3 linked regions of the Stegostoma tigrinum genome follow. The protein of the gene in region 3 binds, or shares a complex with, the protein of the main gene of each other region. Links are inferred from orthologs where the notes say so. Each region holds a gene or a part of one and is shown on either strand. Other genes may lie near its edges. The genes, in order: Kv channel-interacting protein 1, Kv channel-interacting protein 2 and kcnd2.

Region 1 (7,566 bases), on a different chromosome or scaffold from region 3:
TTGCGAAGATCTTTGCATCCTCGCTCTCCACTGGAGTCGTACCTGAGGACTGGAGAGAGGCAAATGTAATTCCTCTCTTCAAGAAAGGAAATAGGGAAATCCCCGGCAATTATAGACCGGTAAGTCTCACGTCTGTCGTCTGCAAGGTGTTAGAATGGATTCTGAGGGATAAGATTTATGACCATCTGGAAGAGCATGGCTTGATCAAATACAGTCAACACGGCTTTGTGAGGGGTAGGTCATGCCTTACAAACCTTATCGAGTTTTTTGAGGATGTGACTAGTAAGGTTGATGAGGGTCGAGCTGTGGATGTGGTGTATATGGACTTCAGTAAGGCATTTGATAAGGTTCCCCATGGAAGGCTCATTCAGAAGGTCAGGAGGAATGGGATACAGGGGAACTTAGCTGCTTGGATACAGAATTGGCTGGCCAACAGAAGACAGCGTGTGGTAGTAGAAGGAAAATATTCTGCCTGGAAGTCAGTGGTGAGTGGGGTTCCACAGGGCTCTGTCCTTGGGCCTCTACTGTTTGTAATTTTTATTAATGACTTGGACGAGGGAATTGAAGGATGGGTCAGCAAGTTTGCAGACGACACAAAGGTCGGAGGTGTCGTTGACAGTGTAGAGGGCTGTTGTAGGCTGCAGCGGGACATTGACAGGATGCAGAGATGGGCTGAGAGGTGGCAGATGGAGTTCAACCTGGATAAATGCGAGGTGATGCATTTTGGAAGGTCGAATTTGAAAGCTGAGTACAGGATTAAGGATAGGATTCTTGGCAGCGTGGAGGAACAGAGGGATCTTGGTGTGCAGATACATAGATCCCTTAAAATGGCCACCCAAGTGGACAGGGTTGTTAAGAAAGCATATGGTGTTTTGGCTTTCATTAACAGGGGGATTGAGTTTAAGAGTCGTGAGATCTTGTTGCAGCTCTATAAAACTTTGGTTAGACCGCACTTGGAATACTGCGTCCAGTTCTGGGCGCCCTATTATAGGAAAGATGTGGATGCTTTGGAGAGGGTTCAGAGGAGGTTTACCAGGATGCTGCCTGGACTGGAGGGCTTATCTTATGAAGAGAGGTTGACTGAGCTCGGTCTCTTTTCATTGGAGAAAAGGAGGAGGAGAGGGGACCTAATTGAGGTATACAAGATAATGAGAGGCATAGATAGAGTCGATAGCCAGAGACTATTTCCCAGGGCAGAAATGGCTAGCACGAGGGGTCATAGTTTTAAGCTGGTTGGTGGAAAGTATAGAGGGGATGTCAGAGGCAGGTTCTTTACGCAGAGAGTTGTGAGAGCATGGAATGCGTTGCCAGCAGCAGTTGTGGAAGCAAGGTCATTGGGGTCATTTAAGAGACTGCTGGACATGTATATGGTCACAGAAATTTGAGGGTGCATCCATGAGGATCAATGGTCGGCACAACATTGTGGGCTGAAGGGCCTGTTCTGTGCTGTACTGTTCTATGTTCTATGTTCTATGTAACTGTACTGCTCCCATTCTCTGGCCATAAAGATTCATCAAAGAAAGTGCTAAACAAGGATGTGGAACATCCTGTTCCCATGACAACTCGACTTTAAAGCAGCAGTGGTTTTCCAGTACAATGAACCTGAGTTATTGATGACGATTTCATTCTGTGTAGTAGTGTTCAGTAAGTATAGAACTGACAGCATCCATTGAAGTCAGAGCTGTCATTGACTGTTTGTGAAGACACTACAATGGAGTTTCCTCCACTACCATCCACCCAAACTCTGCAGATGTGACTGCGAGTGGCTTTGGACAAAGTGATTGTCAGCCTCTTACTTAATCTTGTTGTGTGGCATTGGGAAACCAAAAAAGGCTGTTCTCAATATTAGTGCCCCATTCAGGTCAAAGAGGGTCAGTGTTGCAGTTCAAATGTGTATTAAATAGCAATCGCAAAATGCACAGTTTTAGCGGGTGGACATTTGAGCTGTCTAGTGATTGGAAAACCTGCCAGTAGAGGATTTGATTCTTCCTGTGGTCAATGCCCTTTCTCCACACTTCCTGAACACTGAGGGGAAAAAAGAGTACTTTTTTTGATGTTGATAGGGGATATGGCAGGCACTATCCAGACATGCAATTATTGTCCAACCCTCTCGATATGGGGTGGTGAGCTGCCTTCTTGAACCACTGTAGCTTTTGTGATAAATTCACTACACTGTTATGAAGGGAGCTCCAGGATTTTGACCCAGTAACAGTGAAGCCTAATTTGATGCTGTAAAATGCTTCCACTTTTGATCATTTTGTCGGACTGTAGCTGTTTGATACAACTGAATGGCTTGCCAGGCCAATTTGGAGGACATTTGAGACTAAAACACATCACTGTGGGTGTGGAGTCACGTGTAGGCCAGGTTGGGTAGGGATGGCAGATTTCTTTCACTAATACCTAAGATTGTGTTTTTATAACTATTGGCAGTGGTTACAGGGTCACCATGAGGCTATCTGCTATGATAGAATTCAGCCCATATCCCTGACATATTAGCCTGGAGCACTTGATTACCAGTCCAGTGACATCACTACTGTGCCACCACCTTCTGCAAGCATTGCTACCCATTATATAAATGATCCACTACATAACATATCCCACTTTGCATCACATCCTACTATACAACCCACACTTATACAACTCACCTATAATGCAACCCACCCATTATACAACCCACCCATTATATAACACACGTATTATACAATCTAACCATTAATGAATACACCTACAATACTACACATCTATTATACAGCCCACTCGCTGTACAACCCACCTATTATACAAGCTACACATCATACAATCCACCCATTATGCAACACACCTACTATGCCACCCATCTATTATTCCAACCACTTAGTATACAACCAACAAATTGTACAACCCATGTTTTATATAACACATCTATTATACCACCCATCTATGATACAATGCACTCATTACATAACCCACCCTCTACATAAGCCACCCACTACGTAACCCATCCACCAGCTCAATCAGTAGCTTTTGGTGATGGACATTGTAATCTCCCATCCAAAGTACATTCTGAACCCTTCCCACCCGCAGGGTTTCCTCCAAGTGTTGTTCAACATGAAGGAGTACTAACTCATCAGCTGATAGAGGATGGAGTGTGGTAATCAGCTGGAGGTTTCCTTGCTAATATTTAACCTTATGCCATGAGACTTCACGGGGTCCTGAGTCAATACTGTGGATTCCCAGAGCATCTTCCTCCAACTGTATATCACAGTGCTGCCACCTCTGCTGGATCTGTCCTAATGGTGAGGGAGGGTAGTGATGATGGTGCCTGGGATATTGTCTGTAAGATATACAACCAAGCCATTATATCACTCACCTAGTATGACTTAGCCATTGTATCACCCACACAACATACCACCACCCAAAAAATAAACCACCTAGTACACAAAATTTTGTGTTGCCGTAGTCTGACCAGACTATATGGCTTCTTTCTCATTTGAGAGAGTTGATTAATGGTGATTTAACTGAGGGCTACCATACCTCAGATGATGAGAGAAGTTGAGAAGAGCTTTCCATTGCTTTCCAACGAAATATCCAGTGAACTGAACTAAATCAACCCCCTTTATACCTTGTAACCACTCACCCAGTTTACCACTCTCACATTTTACAACCCAACCTACAATACAAATCTCACACCTACACTGGTTAGCCCTGATGCTTCACATTGCCAGGGACCCAGGAGCGATTCCAGCCTTGGGCAACTGTCTATGTGAAGTGTACATGTTCTCCCCATGTCTGCGTGAGTTTCCTCTGGGTGCTCTGGTTTGCTCCCACCATCTAAAGATATGGGGGTTAGGTGGATTGACAATGCTAAATTGGTTCATAGTGTCCAGGAATGTGTAGGCTAGGTAGATTGACCATAGCAAAAGCAAGATTATGGAAATAGAGTGGGGGGAGTGTCTGAGTGGGATGCTGTTCAGGAGGTCACTGCAGATTTGATGGGCTGAATGGCTTCTGTCTACACTGTAGGGATTCTTTGATTCTCAGATTCCACAACCTATCCATTATACCCATTCATCGCACTTTCGCTAATTACGCAGCCATCGGTTAAACATCTGTGCATTATACATGGCCTGTAATACATTCACTCTTGAAACACCTACCTGTGAAGCACTCATGCCTATTGCACACTCATACGTTGTACACTGTGCACTGCACACTCGTATGGTACACGCCCATTTGTTATGCATTAATAGATTACACACACCTGTAACACCCTCAATTCTACAGATCTACTTATTCACCACCAGTACACAACCAGCCATGATGCATCTGCCTCTTTACACTTCCCTGTGATACACGAGTCTGCAAGATTATTGTTAGTTACACATCTGCCAATTTTGAATACGTAGGGAGAGGTGTCTCTGGAAATGGGCGGCAAGGTGGTTCAGTGGTTCGCGCTGCTGCCTCGTAGCGCCAGAGCTCACGTTCGATTCCACCCTCAGGTGACTGGCTGTATGGAGTTTGCACGTTCTCCCAGTATCTGTGCCGGTTTCCTCCAGATACTCTGGTTTTCTTCCATCATTCAAGGATGTGTGGATTAGTCTGGGAAATGTGGGGTTACAGGGTAGGGTGGTGGACCTGGATGGGGTGCGCTTCGGAGGGTTAGTGTGGTCTCGATGTGAGTTTGCTCGCTGAGCTGGAAGGTTGGTTTTCAAACGTTTCGTCACCATTCTAGGTAACATCATCAGTGAGCCTCCGACGAAGCGCTGGTGTTTTGTTCCGCTTTCTATTTATCTGTTTAGGTTAGTGTGGTCTTAATGAGCCGAATGGCCTGCTTCCACCTGTAGGGTTTCTAGGATTCAAACACTAGATGTGAAATTGGGGAAAATAACAGTATCGTGTCCGCTGTGTAATTTTTCACCAGTGTTACATTGAGTTCCGAATGAGATGTTGACATTAGTAATCTGGTCCACTCCCCAGTCCCGTGGGTCTATCACTGCCTGTGAAAGGTCTGTTTGGTATGCGTTGGTAGAGAACACAGCCTTTGGTGGTGACTACTGAGAGCTGGTGAAACACGAGAGTGCGGACAGCTACAGACAACGTTTGTTTCCGCTTCGATCTGGCGGCTGCGTCAGTCAATGTAGCTCTGTGACAGCCCACAGTGTTCAGCTGAGGGAATTGAAGTAGCCTTGAACTCACGTTGGAGGAATAACAGTGCAAAGCATTCGCAATCAATCTCACCAACACGTGTGTGTGTGTGCAAATGTGGAAGTAGCTCCAGGCGCCTGATTTTTCCGAACACACTGTGGGTCCAGCACGCCTTCACAGCTGAATGCAAAAAGGAACTGAGTACAAGAGAACGAGAAAGACATTCAGAATGGGAGCAGTGATGGGTACGTTATCCCTGCCAACAAAACAGAGGAGACATTCAAGAGGTAAGGTGCTGGAAGCAGCCACAGCCTGTGATTTGCTTCACGTCTTCATTCTCTCTGAGCGAAGGCTTGTACACTGAAGCCTGGTTTAAAGCAGGCAATCGCCCGGAATAGACGTGTGTTTCTACAGCGATAATACCTTTTGCTTGATTTCAAGTTCATTTGAAATCTTGTCGCAGCTGCAGGAATGGTAGGGAGTGTGAGCTGGCCCTTGTGCTCTTCGTACTCAAGCTGGTGTTGCAGGATGGGGCGTATCTGAAATAATTGCAGGAGGTACATAGCAATATTACTGAAACCGAACCGGAAATGTATCCGATAATAAACTAAAACTTACAAAGTGATGTACTGAAACGTAACGATTAATAGAATGAAACTTTCTGCTAACATTGTGAACACAGTCTCAGCAAGATAGAGTAAGGAATACAGTAATATAGTAGGATAACAGAAATTGCTGGAAAATCTCAACAGGTCTGCCAGTGACTTATTCAGAAATGGACAGTTATATATAGTGTCACTTATCAATAATATAATGTAATAAAATTGAAAAACAGTGTTACTTACCCAGTAGTATAGCTTCCCATTAATTTAGTGTAATCATTTCATAACGTAGTGCAACAAAACCAGCAACATTTACTTACTCCATAATATAGTGTTACAAACCTAGTAATATATAGAAAATACTCATTAACATAATGGAACACACAAAGGAATATAGTGAAATATAGTAGGATCATAGAGATGTACAGTACAGAAACAGACCTTTTGCTTTAACTCATTCATGCTGACCAGATATCCCAAATTAATCCAGTCCTATTTGCCAGTATTTGGCCCATATCCCTCTAAACCCTTCCTATTCATATACCCATCCAGATGCCTTTAAAATGTTGTAATTATGCCTGCCTCCACCACCTTCTTTGATGGCTCAATCCATTCATGCTCCACCCGCTGTGTGAAAAGTTACCCCTTTACTCCCTTTTTAATCCTTCCCCTCTCACCTTGATCCTTTGCTCTCTAGTTTTGGACTTCCTTACCCTGGGGAAAAGGCCTTGGCAGTTCACCCTATCCATGCCCCTTGTGATTTTGGAAATTTCTATAAGGCCATCCCCCAGCTTCTGATGCTCTGGGGAAAATAGCCCCAGCCTATTCAACCTCTCCCTATAGCTCAAACCCTCCAACCTTGGCAATGTCCTTGTAAATATTTTCTGAACCATTTCAAGTTTCACAATATCTTTGCTATAGCAGGGAGCCTAGAACTGAATGCAGTATTCCGACAGTGGCCCAACCAATGTCCTAGACAGCTGCAACATGACCTCCCAACTCCTATACTCAACACACTAACCAGTAAAGACAATCATACCAAACATCATCGTCACCACACTGTCAACCTGCGACCCCAGTTTCAATGAACTATCAACCTGCAACCTGTATGTTCGGCAAAACTCTCCAGGACTTTACCATTAAGTGTGCAAGTCCTGGCTTGCCAAAATGCAGCACTTCACATTTATCTAAATTAAACTCCATCTGCCGCTCCTCGGCCTATTTGCTCAACTGATCAAGGTCCTGTTGTACTCTAAGGTAACCACTATCTGCTGCACCACCAATTTTCGTATCATCTGCAAATTTATTAACTGCACCTCCAATGTTCACATCCAAATCATTTATATAAATGACAAAAAGCTATGCACTCAGCATCAATCCTTGCTGTGCACAGCTGGCCACAGGCTTCCAACCTGAAAAGCTACCCTCTACCATCACCCTCTGTCTCCTACCTTCAAGCCAATTTTGTATCCAAAATGGCTGGCTCATCCTGTATTCTCTGTGATCTAACCTGGCTAAACTGCCTACCGTGTGGAACCTTGTTGAATGCCTTAATGATGTCCATGCAGTCATCGTCCACTACTCTGCCTTCGTCTGTCTCCTTTGTCACTTCAAAAAACTCAATGAAGTTAGTGAAACACAATTTCCTACACACAAAGCCATGTTAACTATCCCTAATCAGTCCTTGCCTTTCCAAATACATGTAAATGCTGCCCCTCAGAATACCCTTCAGTGATGTGTGAACCACTGATGCCAGGTTCAGTGGTCTGTAATTCCCTGGTTTTCCTTTCCACCTTTTCTTATATAATGCCACAATGTAAGCTAACCTCTAGTCTTCCAG
Region 2 (6,917 bases), on a different chromosome or scaffold from region 3:
TGTCCCACTGAATCCACACTGTCCCTCCGAAGAGCATCCCACCCACCTTACCTGCATATCTTTGGACTGTGGTAGGAAATTGGAACAAACCCACACAGACCCAGGGAGAATGTGCAAACTGTACACAGACAGTTGCCTGAGGGTGGCGTTGAACCTAGGTCCTTAGCGCTGTGAAGTAGCAATGCTAATCACTGAGCCACCATGCCACTCCAATCCACCCCCTGTTTCGGGCCATTCATCCCCATGGAAGATACTGAATTTTTTACAGCCTGTAATTTGTGAAGTGTAGCCACTGTTGTCATGGGGGAAATGCAGCAGCCAAATTATGCACAGCAAGATCCCACAATCCTAAGTAATCCATTTCCACAGTGATGACATGTTGAGGAGCGTATACTGACTCGATCCTCTGCTCTTCCTTATAGTAGTGCTGTGGGTCATTTGAATCCACCTGAAAGGGACAGAGGAGCAGCTTGTTTCAGTTATACTGATGAAAATGGCCTCTCTAGTGGTGCGTCTCTCACATAACGCAGCCAGCTCCCTCAAACCACTGGAGTGGGTCTTCTCCCCACAACTCTGTCTTAGAATGCTGCTACTGGGCCCAACATAGGGCAGGACATTTGGGCTGATGTGATTTTCTAGTACAGTCAGAGCACTCCAAGACCAAACAGAATCCCAGCCTCTCGGTGATAGCAAGAACTGCAGATGGTGGAGGCTTCATCATGATTGCTGTAGGGTGTAAACTCGACTCTCCTGCTCCCCTGATCTGCTGCATTCCTCCAGCTCCACGCTGTGTTGACTCAGAACCCAAGTCTTCTTTGGAGCCAAAATAACAACATTACCAGCTGGCATTCTCCATCCAACGACACCTCTGCGATCCCAAGGCTGCGGAGGTAAAAAATGAGATTTCCCCAGATATGTCAATATTGATATCACCAGATGGCATTGCCAGTGTGCTCTCCTGAAAGTTAAACAGCTGCTCCTCATTCACAGCAGACAGCCATTGACTGACAACTCAGGAAGGATATATAAAAAAGGGGAGGCTATTCAGCTCCCCCCCCCAAGCCTGTTCTGCTATTCAACTACATTGGCACCTTCATTCTAAACACACATCTTAACTGATTAACTGAGCTGACATCTTCCACTTTCTGGGGGCTGGGTGTGGGTTCCGCATTTGTGTGAAGGCATGATCCCTGAACCACTTCCAAGGGCCTGACTCTCATCTTAAGATAATATCCGTTTCTTTGAGACTCTCCAACCAACACTTAAAGTTTCCTTCCAGCCGGGCTATCGGTTCCTTTCCAAATCAGGCTTTACTCAAATCAAACCTGAGCCCCTTATTTTCCAGTAATTCCGAGAATCAAACTTTGTTTACATTATGACAAACATTGAGGATGCTGAGGACATGAATGGAACCGAACAGCAATTATGAAGAGAGACATATCCATTTTTAATCCTTGTACACTCCTCCCTGGCCCAGGGGTGCTTGTTGAGGACAGTGTAGAGGAAGCTTTACTCTGTATTTAACCTCATGCTGTCCCTGTCCTGGGAGTGTTTGATGAGGATACTGTAGAGGGATCTTTAACCCCATGCTAAGCCTATTGCTGGGAGTGTTTGATGGAAACAACAAGTATAAAAGGAATTATAATTTCCCTGTGCCCTGTACTGTCTCCCATTTTAAGCAAACTATGAACCGTTTACATGTTAAAAGCTGGATCTTAAAATAAAGCATCACAAAGCTCTTCCTTTCACAAACGTTTCCTGTTGCCATGACACCGAGAGACTTATGGATAACTTGTTAGAGTCAATTGTTAGAGTCAATAAAACACGTTGGGAAGATTGAGGCTGGCATCAACACTTTATCATAGTAATATCCGCGAGCATGTGACTGTATGTGCGATATCTCTGACAGAGAGCGGTCTAACAGGATGTTTCAATATCAAGGGGGGAAGCACACTGCTAGGGACTGTAACTGTGAGAGTGAGAAAGTGAGAATTAGTATGTGAGAATGTGAATGACTGCGAGGGTGTGTGTGTGAAAACCTGGAGTTTGAGAAGATGAGTATGATTGAGTACGACACAATGTGAAAATGTCAGAGTGCAAGGATGAGAGAGTGTGTGTGTGTGTGTGTGTGTGTGCGCTCGAGAGAGAGTGCACGTGTGTGAGAATGTAAGAGAATAAGTGTGCGTGCACGCACAATTAGATGACAGAGCGGGTGAGAATGAAAATGAGTGAGTATGTCAGTGTGTGTGAGTGTGCACAAGTAGTTGAGAGTGTGTGTGAGTGTGCTTGTGAAAGTGACTGTGACATACACACGAGGCTACTCTGCGTGGGGACAGGTACAGAGTACGAAGCCAAGATGTTTTGCCTGTATAAAAATGTTTGAGTCCACTGTGAGTGCAGTTCCCAACTCTGAGCCCTGGCAGGATGTGTCAGTCCCTGGCTAAGGGCAGGTGCAGTGGGCATCTTCACACCTCGGAGAGTTTTACGACCTTACACAAAGCCATGATTGAGCACACATAGTTTATCATAAACACCAACTTCTATGCCTATTGAACCCATAGCAAAGCAGATGGTGAGATAGGGGGACAGGTGACCCATTTCTTTTTATTCATTCACAGGATGAGGGCATCACTGGCAAGCCAGCATTTATTCCCCTTCCCCAATTACCAGAGGGCAGCTAAGAGTCAATATTGCTGTGGGTTTGGAGTCAATGCGTAGGCCAGACCAGGTAAGGATGGCAGTTTCCCCTCCCTTAAGGGCATTAGTGAACCAATAATTGGCACAATGTCATCATTAGATACTTGAATTCAAATTCCACCATCTGCTGTGGCCATCACCTCCCCTTAAATAACTTAATCAGAGAGGAAGGTTTAAAAGACCAGATCAGAGGAAGACAAAGGTGTGGAGATTTTTAGGCAGTGACTTCCAGATAGGAGAGCACACAGGCAGCTAAAGACAAGGCCACTAAAAATGAAGAATCGGAAGAGTACAGGGATTGTAGAGATTTGTAGCGCCGGAGGAGATTATACGAAAGGGGATAGGAAGAGGCCATGGAGGGATAATTTTAGGCCAAGGCCAAGGACCAGCGTCAGTCAGCGAGCTGAGGAAAGATGGTCAAATGGGGCTTGGAGTTAGGGTATGCACAGCAGAGTTGGGGAAAGCCCTTGCAAAGACTTTGCACCTTCACAGAGAAGAGAGACGTCCATAATACAGGCAGTGTCACGGATCGGAGTCAGAATGGCACAGGGCACAACAGTGAAAGGGTGGGAGGGACATACAGTGAGGCAGAAGGCATATGTTCAATATGCAAGATATCAGTACAAAGAGGCTACAAATAGTATTAAGGAACACAGATTTTTACCTGCTCATGAGTTTTGCAGTCCTTCTTCATCTGCTGTGGATAGAAGTGTCTTGCTTTTCTTCTTCTGACACTGGGAGACCCACAGTGTACCCCCATCTCTCCTTTCTTCACAGCTCCACAGCTCCAATGCCTTTGTTTTCTTCCTTACCTGGGATCTCCTCCTCTGAAGTTGCAGGTCCAAGGTTCAGTGCTGCTCCTTGCCCTTCAGTGAGCCAGACAGTGACCTACAACAAAAGCACTCACCTTTTCTCAGGAGCAAAGAGTTTTCAGCAGAGAGGCTCCCGAAATGCCAGATCCAAGTGGGCATCACTTGACTGGCAACAGTGCTCGTTTTAACTGACATTGCCAAAGGGGAAAATCTGACTCAACCACTGAGTGTTTAAAAACACAACGTGCAGGCGCAGAAAGATTTGTAAACGATGGAACCCGCCCTCTCATCTTTGACAGTTCAGTTTATCAGGTTCTCTCACTGTGTCTGTCATCCTAACTCTCTGTGTATGTTTCTCACCGTAAATCCCACAAAATCCACTGCTTCCCCGTGACTCTCCTGTGCGTGTTCCTGTCTCTGTCTCCCGCTGTGAGTCTTTTCCCCCACCTCCCTGTTTCGTTCTGTGACTCTCACTCTGTTTGTCTGTCTCTGTCTCTCTGCCTTTGTGTCTGTCGCTGAGTCACCCATTCCATCTGTGTCAACTCTGCATCTCTTACTATCTACATATCTCTCTCTCTGCCTCTGTTTTCTCACTCTCTTTGCATCGCACTCTGTGATTCTCACTGTTTATCTCTCAGTGTCTTGTAGCCCAATCTGTCTTTTCATTCTGTGTGAATGAATCATTCTGTCTCTCAGTCTGTGCCTCTTACCCTGTTAATGACTTGTGCCTTTATGTTCGTATAATTTTCCATCTCTTGTGGCTCTGCGTCCATCTCCTGCTGCCCCACGAAAAATCCCAAACCAGATGACAGAAGGCAGTCGAGATGGTTTTAAATACGGACTGGGAGTCGGAGGGATTGCAGACTGTAGGGATTGTCTTTCTGGCTGTAAGTTCTCTGAAGCTGTTGCATTTCCTGGGACTGATTGATTTCTCCAGTGAAGGTAGGAAATGGGTGGCAGACCAAAAGTGCCCCCTCATTTATTTTTGTCTGAATTTTATTGGTTAACCTAGTCTAAGGTTCTTGAAGACTCTAAATTTGTAAACGATAGCTTAATTGCTAACTCTGATGGGAGACAAACACAAAGTCTATCATGCAGTCCCTGTCTGATCAGACTGGGGCTAAAAAAACAAGTGAGGAAATTGAGGTTAATTAGTTACAGCAGAAAAAGAACTACAGCCCAATTTGAGGGATTAAAAACTGACAAATCCCCAGGCCCTAATGGCCTACATTTGAGATTTTTAAAAGAGGTCGCTGCAGAGAAAGTAGATTCACTGGCGGATTGATAGTTAGCAAACATAACACTGTTATCTAAGGAAGGGGGCTGGAGAGAAAATAGGGAACTGCAGCTATATTATCCTGACATTAGTCCTTGGGGGAAAAAATGTGTTGGAATCAATTTTACATTCATGTGCTTGTGCACTAGCTCGGGCGTATGAGGTTGGCAGTTCGTCTTCTGATGCTTCATTGCCAGCCTGAGGTGCTTCTGGTCAGTCTCAAAGAAAGGGCAGATTTAGGTTTTACTACAACAGAATTGGGAATGAATCAGCAATATTCTAAAATACACGCTTGCCATTGATTCTAACCAACCCCCAATCTATTGTGAAGAAGGTCCTGACAATGGGCTTAGAAAAGCATAGTATGTTCGTACAAAGTTTTAAGAAAGAAAGGTCAAATTTAATTAATGAATTGTATGTTTTTGAGCAAATATTTAATTGGATTAATAGAGGGAACCAGTAAATGTGGTCTCCAAAGGCATACGATATAAGGTGCCACTCAAACAATTAATACGCTACGCATGAGCTCAAGGAGTTGGGTGTGATATATTAACAAGGAAAGCAGATTGCTCAACAAAGAGTAGGGATACATGGAGCCTGTTCATGTTGGCTGATAGTGGAGTGCCAGCACGAGGGTCAGTCATGGAGCCTCAGTCAATTTCAATCTTTATTAATGGTTTGAATGGGCAGAGGGTAATGTGCCCAAACTGGCTGATGATTCAAACTAGGGGCAGTATACATTGTGGGGAGAACACAAAGACACTGCAAAGACGTGTTGACAGATTAAGCACGTGTGCAATGAGGTAATAGATGGAGTATAATTTGGAGAAATGTGAGGTTATTCACTTTGAAAAGGTGTGAAAGTTCACACATCGACACTCAGAGAGACTTGGGTATTCTAGTGCACTGGCAAAGTGCAGCATTCTCACAAACCCTTGGGAATCACTGGCCCAAGACCATCCAGAGTGGAGGAGGGGCATCCGGGAAAACATTGAGCACCTCGAGACTTGCCGTCAGGAAGAAATGGAAACTGAGCGAAAGGAGTGCACCGCCACAATACCCCACCCACTCCCTGTGAGCACCACCTGCCCCAAGTGTAACAGAGCCTGCAGTAGCTGCGTTGGTCTGTACAGTTACCTACAGACTTATCCTCATCTGTGAAGAATCACCAATAATGATGATGATTGTTGTACAAGGTATACAGACAGACAGCACACAGGCACAACATGGGGAGACAATGGCCTAGTGGTATTATCGCTGGACTGTTAATCGAGAGACGCAGATAACATTCTGGGGACCTGGGTTTTTACTCCCACCAGGGCAGTTGGTGGCATTTGAATTCAATTTAAAAAACTGGAATTAACAGTCCAACGATGACCATGAATCCATTGTCGATTGTCAGGAAAACCCCGTCTGGTTCACAAATGCTCTTTAGGAAAGGAAAATGCCATCCTTACCTGGCCTGACCTACATGTGACTCCAGACCCACAGTAGTGTGGTTGACTCTCAACTGCCCTCTGGGTAACTGAGATGGGCAATGAATACTGCCCAATCAGTGATGTCCTCATCTCATGAAAGAATAAAGGAACAAGCAATTGGGAAGGTAGATGGCATATTGGCCTTTTTTGCAAGTGGCTTGAAGTACGTGAAAGAAGTTTTGTTATAATTGTACAGGGTCTTGCTGAGCTCACAGCCGGAGTACCGTGTGATTTATTACATATTTAAGGATGAATGCACTTGCATTGGAGATGGCACAGAGATGATTCAATAGTTTGGGTGCATTTACTCAGGTGAGAAGTTGCCAGGTCACCCCTGAAGAAAGCAAGTTTATTTCTCATCAATGATAGTAAACTTTGACTTTTAATTAGTGTGAACGAGTCACTTGCAAACAGGAGGAAGAAGAAAATTGAGAAGCAAACCCTGTGGATGGGGACCACCTGCCTAATCATCCAGCTTTCCCTTCACACGTAACACGCATGTTTTGTGTGTGTGTGTGTGTGTGTGTGTGTGTGTGTGTGTGTGTGTGTGTGTGTATCTGGGGGGGAGCAGTTTTTAAATGGGTTAGAACTTTAACAAGGGATATATTCATTCAAGTCATCAGTGGCTAGGCCAGTCCTTGTTGCCCATCCCTA
Region 3 (7,100 bases):
AGACAAATACAAACATGGCGTTGTGGGAACACTGGCAAAGAATTGGGATGTAATTATGCATTCAAGGACTTTGGAGAGGACAAACGAGCCATCGTACATGATAATTTGGCTGTGATTCGGTAAATTATAAATGTACCAAGCAAAGACAGTTCAGTTGAACAAAGAAAGACGGAGAAGTTGAAAAGTGGCATTTGTTGCCAGGCAATGAGGGATGGTTGTAGAGCATTATCTAAACATTTGGAATTGTTAACAGTACCAGTTAACATGGGGGCCAGTAAGGCAAAATGAGTCACCAACAGCTTGGTTGCAATAGGATTGAGAAGATGTAGCTGGACTTTGTGGGCTAACTAAGGTTGGAAAGCGCATTCCAGGAGATAGGATGGCATCTACAGAAAGATATATGTTCAGGTTAATAACTGTTGGGGAACTTTGTCCAAAACATATTATCTAGTCATTCTTAAATCCATTTAAGGGGTGTGGGTATTGCTGGATAAGTCTGCATTTATTGCTCATTCTTAACTACCCAGAGTGTAGTCAAGCATCATCCATATTGTTTAGGGTCTGAATTTGCATGTAAGCCAAACCAGGTGAGGATCTTTCCCTAAAGGACATTAGTGAGCAAGATGGTGTTTTCCCAACAATCAGCAACAGTTTCTTGGACATCAGTAGACCCTTAACACTAGATACTTTATTAAATTCAAATTTCTCCATCTGCTATGGCAAGATGGCACACGTCAAGAATCTGATGGAATACTCCTCACTTGCCGGGATGGGTGCAGCTCCAACAGCATTCAAGAAGCTTGATACTGTCCAGGACAAAGCAGCCCACTTGATTGGCACCACAACCACAAACATTCACTCCCAACACCAGTGATTCTCAGTAGCAGCAGCATGTACTATCTATAAGATGTACTGCAGAAATTCACCAAAGATTCCCAGGGCAGTACCTGGGTCTCTGGAATAATAGTCTTGTGATAGTACCACAAGGCCAACATCTCCCCTGCTGTTAATGGATCTTGCTGTATTCAACTTAGTTTCTCTGCTTGGTTGTAAAGCTCCTTGGAATGTTCTGAGACTGAAAAGCACCAAATGAGTACAAGTTTACCTACTTTATTGAAAAAATACAATTGAGTTCAAAGGGATATAAGAACATAGTTTGCCCCTCAAGCCTGTTCCACCATTATGTGAGATTATAGCTGATTGTCCAATCTTTTAATGCCATTGGTAAACAAGAACCTATCAACCCAACATTTAACAATGACCAAGTATCATTTTGCCATTTTGTGTAAGTGTGTTCCCCAAACCCCCTGGATCTCCCTACCAGGAAAAATAATTTCTCCCAAACCATCTAGTCTATTCCCTGTAATATTCTCAGAATCTCAAATCGCCTTCTAAAGCTTTCTAAATTTGATGGAATACTAGTTATGTAATCTGTACATGTGTTTTAACTCATGGAGTTGAGGTATCAATCTGGTAAATCCATAACGTGATGTAGGAAGTTGATGGGTGACCTCAAGAAACTGTGGAGAATCATGAAGGGCAGCAATAAGATGAATAGCAAAGGCCTTTTCCTAAGGTGTGAGAGTTCAAAGCTAGGGATCATTTTTTAAGGTGAGAGGAGAAAAATTTAAAAAGGACACAAGAGGAAACATGCTTACACAAAAAGTGGTTAGTGTGTGGAATAAATTGCCAGAAGAAGTGGTGAATGCGGGTACAGTTACAATATTCAAACACATTTAGATAAATACATGAATCGGAAAGGTTTGGAGGGATACGGACCAAACACAGACAGGTAGGACTAGTTTAGTTTGAGAACATAGTTGATGTGGACTATATAGCCCAAAGGGTCTGTTTCCATGCTGAATGACTTTAAGGAATTGTAGGTTTGGAAGGTGCGTCTAATGATCTTTGGTGAATTTCTGCAGTACATCTTATAAATAGTACATGCTGCTGCTACTGAGAATCAGTGGTGATGGAAATGAATGTTTGTGGATGTGGTGCCAATTAAGTGGGCTGCTTTGTCCTGGACAATGTCGAGCTTCTTGAGTGTTGTCGGAGCTGCACCCATCCAAGCGAGTGAGGAGTATTCCATCACGTTCTTGACTTTTGCCTTGTTAACAGTGGACAGGCTTTGGAGATTCAGGAGGTGAGTAACTCACTGCAGTATTGCTAGCCTCTTGCCAACTCTTGAAACCTCTATTAATGTGTCGAGTCCAATTGAGTTTCCAGTCAATGGTAACCTCCAGTACGTTGATAGTGGGGATTCAGTGACAGTAAAACCAGTGAATGTCAGGGTGGGGGTGGGGGTGGTAGTGTTAGATTGTCTTTTACTGGAGATTACAGTTGCCTGGCATTTGTGGTGTGCAAATGTTACTTACCACTTGTCAGCTTAACTACTGTCCAGATTTTGTTGCATTTGAATATTGACTCCTTCAGTATCTGAGGACTTGCGAATTATGATCAACATTGTGAAATAATCGGTGACTATGCCCACTTCTGACATTCTGATGGAGGACGGTCCTTGATGAAGCAGCTAAAGAGGTTTGGGCCTAGATCGCTATCCTGTTCAGAAACTGACCTGTGAAGGAACTGAGGGTTTGATCAGCTGAAAACTTTCAATTTGTTCATTCACTAAATCCTTAATTATAGATACTAGGAATAGCCCAACAACAGATGACAGGTGAAGTGAACTATCATTCCTCTCTCACATTTCCTAAAAGGTGAAATGGTACACACTCTTTTCCAATGTAAAAGAACAGTTCCCGAATTGACAGTGGTCTCACTTCCTTTAAAATTATAACTTAGAAGCCATCTGATATTGGGAATCTATCCCTCTTTTATGATACCAATTTATTCAGGGTGACAATTCTGGATTTTGTGGTTTTAATATCTGTCCTGTATCCTGTGTGAAATCAGTGTCAGCACCATTTGTTATGTATCTCAAATTGTGCCCTAAAGTCTGGTGCTTCTGACAAGCTGAAAAATTCTGGTCTCCAGGGTAGTGATATAAAGTTGTGTCTGATCAAACATTCATTACCTGGGGACGTCCACCATGCTGAAGTCTATCACACCTGTAAATATTAACACAAAGTAATTACTCAATATGTCTGCCATTTCCTAATTTTCATTTTACTATTAGCAGTTTTTCTCACATCCCCAGATGATCTTCTAATTCCCATGCAATATTTTTGAGTTAACCTTGATATTCCTTGTAAGTTTATTTTCATGCTTTTTGTAATATTTCTACATTCTGTTTTACATTCTCATTTGTCAAGATTTGCGTATGTTTTTTCTTGTTTTTTTTCATTGTCTTTGGTCTTTTCTTTCTCAGCATCTTTCCTCTTAGGGAGTTCTAAATTGGTTCTACATCATCTATTATTTTTGAAATACCTCCAACTGATTTCAGATCATATTTGCTACTAACGGATTTGCTAAGTTCACTGATGACAGTTTTGCTTATCGCATTGAAGTCAGCGTAACTGTAACTTAGAAACTGATGAGCTGTTTTGCCTTTATCATTAAATTGAATGATATCACAACATGATCTACATTAGATAAAATATTCACACATCATTAGGCTGTGTTACCTAAATCTGAATGGTTACTTATTACTAAATCTTAAATTAGGAAACTTATCCAAGACACATTAAAGAAATTCACAACCTTTGCAACATTTTTTTTCTTATTGACCTGGAAGATAAAAGATTTTGCTACGTTTGTCTAATCTCTGCTGTTATCTAATCTACCACTTCATAGCTGCTAAGAGGCAACCTATACACAATCTCCACTAGTCTTAAATTACCTTATTTATTAATTCTACCAATAATGCGTCTAATATTTGCTTATCTCTCACTGAAGTGATTTCATCCACAATCAACCACAAAAGCACTTTATCATTAAATTCAAAAAACTTGACGTGTTTGTGAAATTAAAACGACGAAATGTTGAAAAATGTGGTATAATGTTAAGGCCTCACCAACCTCTTTAATCATCTCCCGAATCTCTTACATACAACAGTTTTGGTTATGTTTGCCATTCTCAAACAGCTCAGCCTCTATCCTGAATTTTGTCGCCCTCTATAGGGCGAACTATTTGACGTGGGCTCGCAGCAAAGGAAATAGGATTGAATGCTCCGATAAATTGAGAAAGCTGAAACGCGTCTTCGAACGGCTGAAATGTTCTCCCACAATCGTCTCTTCCCTATTTGTTTGTAAACGGTACAGAAAACGATTCGACGGCAAAGGACCACAACACTTACTTTAAACGACGAGCGCCGGATATTAGAATGAACTCTCGATAATTTTTTGAGGTTAAATTTTCTGCTCATTCCAGTTTCAACAAAGTGCTATTTTGAACAAGTTCTGTCTCCAATTCATATCCACTACAACCTAAGCTGTATATCCTTAAAAAAACCTGCAGGTTTTGATTTTACATTGAACACAATAGCTGATGGTTATGAACCACCCACACGATCTCAGAGCAAGGAAGTTCAACTGCGCCCTCAGTCTTGCGAGTGGCTCCTTATATTCTGTGTATAAATGTATATGCAAACGATCTCGCCTTCTTTTAGAGGTACTGTACTGCAAAGAGTGGAGAAGTGGAATATGTTGAGGTCTCGTATCGCTACTGGATCGTCGAGCGTGATTACGTTTCCTGAACTTGTTGCTGGTGGACTGAAAAGCTCTATTTGAGGGATTCTCCTGTCACGGCTCCGGTTCAGGTTCTTCGTATTTTCTATACATATGTCCATTAACGTGTAGTGGATTGAAGTGATACAGCACCGAAATCTGAATGCATCAGACAAGTGGCCGACTCTTCAGAGAGGTAGGACAACAAACAGTTAAAATATTCTTTTGATAACACCTGGTAAATTTCTGTTTGGCTGTTAAGTTGATGCCCGTGTAGGAGCACAACTGCAATAATAAGACGGTTACGGGTTAAAATGTGTGTGTGTGTGTGTGCATGTGTATGTGAGAGAGTGGAAAACACAAGAGATGGGGAATTCTGCGAAATAAATATTTTGAGACCGGGCAAGGGTACGCCGCGAGGAGTTTTTGTTTTATTTCAACACGATCGCAAAATTACATTGGGTTGCCTCCTTTATCTTTCTAGATGTCAGGCGTGCGGCATCAAGCGTGGTTCTGAATCGGGGAAGCGACCTGTATCTCCCTGTGACACCCTCCCAGCCAGCCAGCCAGGCAGGCAGTAAAGTATCGGAGCGATGGCAGCGGGAGTAGCCGCCTGGCTCCCGTTTGCCCGGGCGGCCGCTATCGGATGGATGCCGGTGGCCAGCCAGCCCATGCCCGCCGCCCCCAGCGAGAGGAAGCGGCCCCAGGACGGGCTGGTCATCCTGAATGTGAGCGGCAGGCGCTTCCAGACGTGGAGGAGCACTTTGGAGAGGTACCCGGACACTTTGCTGGGCAGCTCGGAGAAAGACTTCTTCTACAACGAGGAGATCCGCGAGTATTTCTTCGACCGGGACCCTGACATCTTCAGGAGCATCCTGAATTTTTACCGGACCGGCAAGCTGCACTACCCGAGGCACGAGTGCATCTCGGCTTACGACGAGGAGCTCTCCTTCTTCGGCATCATCCCGGAGATCATCGGCGACTGCTGCTACGAAGAATACAAGGACCGAAAGCGGGAAAACATCGAGCGGATCATGGACGACGCCGAGGACGACATCAGCAGCGAGAACCGGCTGCCGTCCATGACCGCCCGCCAAAAGGTGTGGCGGGCTTTCGAGAACCCGCACACCAGCACCTTGGCACTCGTCTTCTACTACGTGACGGGCTTCTTCATCGCGGTGTCGGTGATGGCCAACGTGGTGGAGACGGTGCCGTGCGGCTCGCTGCCGGGCAGTGTGAAGGAGTTGCCGTGCGGTGAGCGCTACGCCCTGGCCTTCTTCTGCCTGGATACAGCGTGCGTCATGATCTTCACGGTCGAGTACCTGCTCCGCCTCGTGGCGGCCCCCAGCCGTTACCGCTTCGTGCGCAGCGTCATGAGCATCATCGACGTGGTCGCCATCATGCCCTACTACATCGGCCTGGTCATGACCGACAACGAGGATGTCAGCGGCGCCTTCGTCACCCTGCGCGTTTTCCGCGTCTTCAGGATATTCAAGTTCTCCCGCCACTCGCAGGGCCTGCGCATCCTGGGCTACACCCTCAAGAGCTGCGCCTCGGAGCTCGGCTTCCTCCTCTTCTCCCTCACCATGGCCATCATCATCTTCGCCACCGTCATGTTCTACGCCGAGAAGGGCTCCTCCGCCACCAAGTTCACCAGCATCCCGGCCGCCTTCTGGTACACCATCGTCACCATGACCACCCTGGGGTAAGTGCTTCTCTAGGCCACTTGTCTGTTTTCTTTGTTTCATCTCCCCCAATCCCTCTCCTGCTGCGTCTCGTTGTGTTGGGCTGGAGGAGGGGGAATGGATGTCGCCGATTATTGAGTGGTTCCCGCGGGTAGAAGAGGTTGTCAAGTCAGTCTCGAGGACTGGGCAGCCCATACGAAGTGTGTTTGGAGCCAGTCCTTGGTGGTATCGGCCAGTCTTGGACAGAACTTTATGTTCTTGCATTGGAAACCAGTATGGAGAAGGTGTGAAATGAATCACAAATTCTAATTATCTGCTAGCAGTGACAATCCTTATAAGTGTGGCTATAAGGTGAAGAAATCTAAACTTTTGTTAGATTATTTCACTCTGGTTCCTTGACATCATCTTGAAAACATGGAGTCTTTCCCTCCTGTCCTACCCATCTGTACGTAAGGTTTCCCTGCAGAATTGATCTTTGTTCGTAGTTTCACATTGCAACCTAAGTCACCTCTAAATAACCTTTTAGAGTTACAGTAATGTCAGAATTACTGTAACTCTAAAAGATTATTTAGAGATGACTTAAATTTTTCAACCTCACAGCACTGTGTTGCCAGCAAGTTTGAAACTCTACTTAGAAAGGAAGGTGTGAGGTAGCACAGCACTTTTGATATGTTGGTGTATAAAGCTAAAACCAGTTTTTTTAAGCAAAGTAATGTTGTTTTCTTTGAACTCAACAGATGTTGATGATCTGTAAAACATGAGAACACTGGTGTACAAAATGTCAGCC

What was found.
Region 1: the proteins of kcnd2 (region 3) and Kv channel-interacting protein 1 are in contact, whole or in part, in a cryo-EM structure (PDB 7E8E), measured with the Homo sapiens proteins. The link is inferred for Stegostoma tigrinum from reciprocal best matches to the Homo sapiens genes KCND2 and KCNIP1. Residues at the interface, in NP_036413.1 of Homo sapiens: Ala2, Val5, Ala7, Trp8, Pro10, Phe11, Ala12, Arg13, Ala14, Ala15, Ala16, Ile17, Gly18, Trp19, Met20, Pro21, Val22, Ala23, Ser24, Gly25, Met27, Ala29, Pro30, Gln33, Arg35, Lys36, Arg37, Thr38, Gln39, Asp40; in NP_001030009.1 of Homo sapiens: Thr60, Arg62, Glu63, Val66, Leu67, Arg69, Gly70, Phe71, Asn73, Glu74, Phe85, Ile88, Tyr89, Gln91, Phe92, Tyr101, Leu105, Phe109, Phe122, Leu126, Leu129, Leu130, Lys137, Thr141, Leu144, Tyr145, Val162, Ile165, His185, Phe189.
Region 2: the proteins of kcnd2 (region 3) and Kv channel-interacting protein 2 are in contact, whole or in part, in a cryo-EM structure (PDB 7UKH), measured with the Homo sapiens proteins. The link is inferred for Stegostoma tigrinum from reciprocal best matches to the Homo sapiens genes KCND2 and KCNIP2. Residues at the interface, in NP_036413.1 of Homo sapiens: Val5, Ala7, Trp8, Leu9, Pro10, Phe11, Ala12, Arg13, Ala14, Ala15, Ile17, Gly18, Trp19, Met20, Pro21, Val22, Ala23, Ser24, Gly25, Pro26, Met27, Pro28, Ala29, Pro30, Trp55, Asp57, Arg61, Arg100; in NP_775283.1 of Homo sapiens: Arg112, Gly113, Phe114, Asn116, Glu117, Cys118, Val123, Phe128, Ile131, Tyr132, Gln134, Phe135, Phe136, Tyr144, Leu148, Phe152, Phe165, Leu169, Ile172, Leu173, Arg180, Trp183, Ala184, Leu187, Tyr188, Met201, Met205, Ile208, Met211, His228.

What each region holds. Positions count from the first base shown.
Region 1 is NC_081366.1:63,376,989-63,384,554, reverse strand, and holds the start of Kv channel-interacting protein 1, read left to right. Parts: upstream 1-4,460; 5' UTR 4,461-5,308; coding exon 5,309-5,411; intron 5,412-7,566. UniProt on the Homo sapiens protein: Regulatory subunit of Kv4/D (Shal)-type voltage-gated rapidly inactivating A-type potassium channels. Regulates channel density, inactivation kinetics and rate of recovery from inactivation in a calcium-dependent and isoform-specific manner.
Region 2 is NC_081373.1:13,470,113-13,477,029, reverse strand, and holds the start of Kv channel-interacting protein 2, read left to right. Parts: upstream 1-3,838; 5' UTR 3,839-3,856; exon of another isoform or gene 3,857-4,314; 5' UTR 4,315-4,333; coding exon 4,334-4,451; intron 4,452-6,917. UniProt on the Homo sapiens protein: Regulatory subunit of Kv4/D (Shal)-type voltage-gated rapidly inactivating A-type potassium channels. Modulates channel density, inactivation kinetics and rate of recovery from inactivation in a calcium-dependent and isoform-specific manner.
Region 3 is NC_081371.1:36,346,862-36,353,961, forward strand, and holds the start of kcnd2 (potassium voltage-gated channel subfamily D member 2), read left to right. Parts: upstream 1-4,099; 5' UTR 4,100-4,824; intron 4,825-5,112; 5' UTR 5,113-5,221; coding exon 5,222-6,333; intron 6,334-7,100. UniProt on the Homo sapiens protein: Voltage-gated potassium channel that mediates transmembrane potassium transport in excitable membranes, primarily in the brain. Mediates the major part of the dendritic A-type current I(SA) in brain neurons.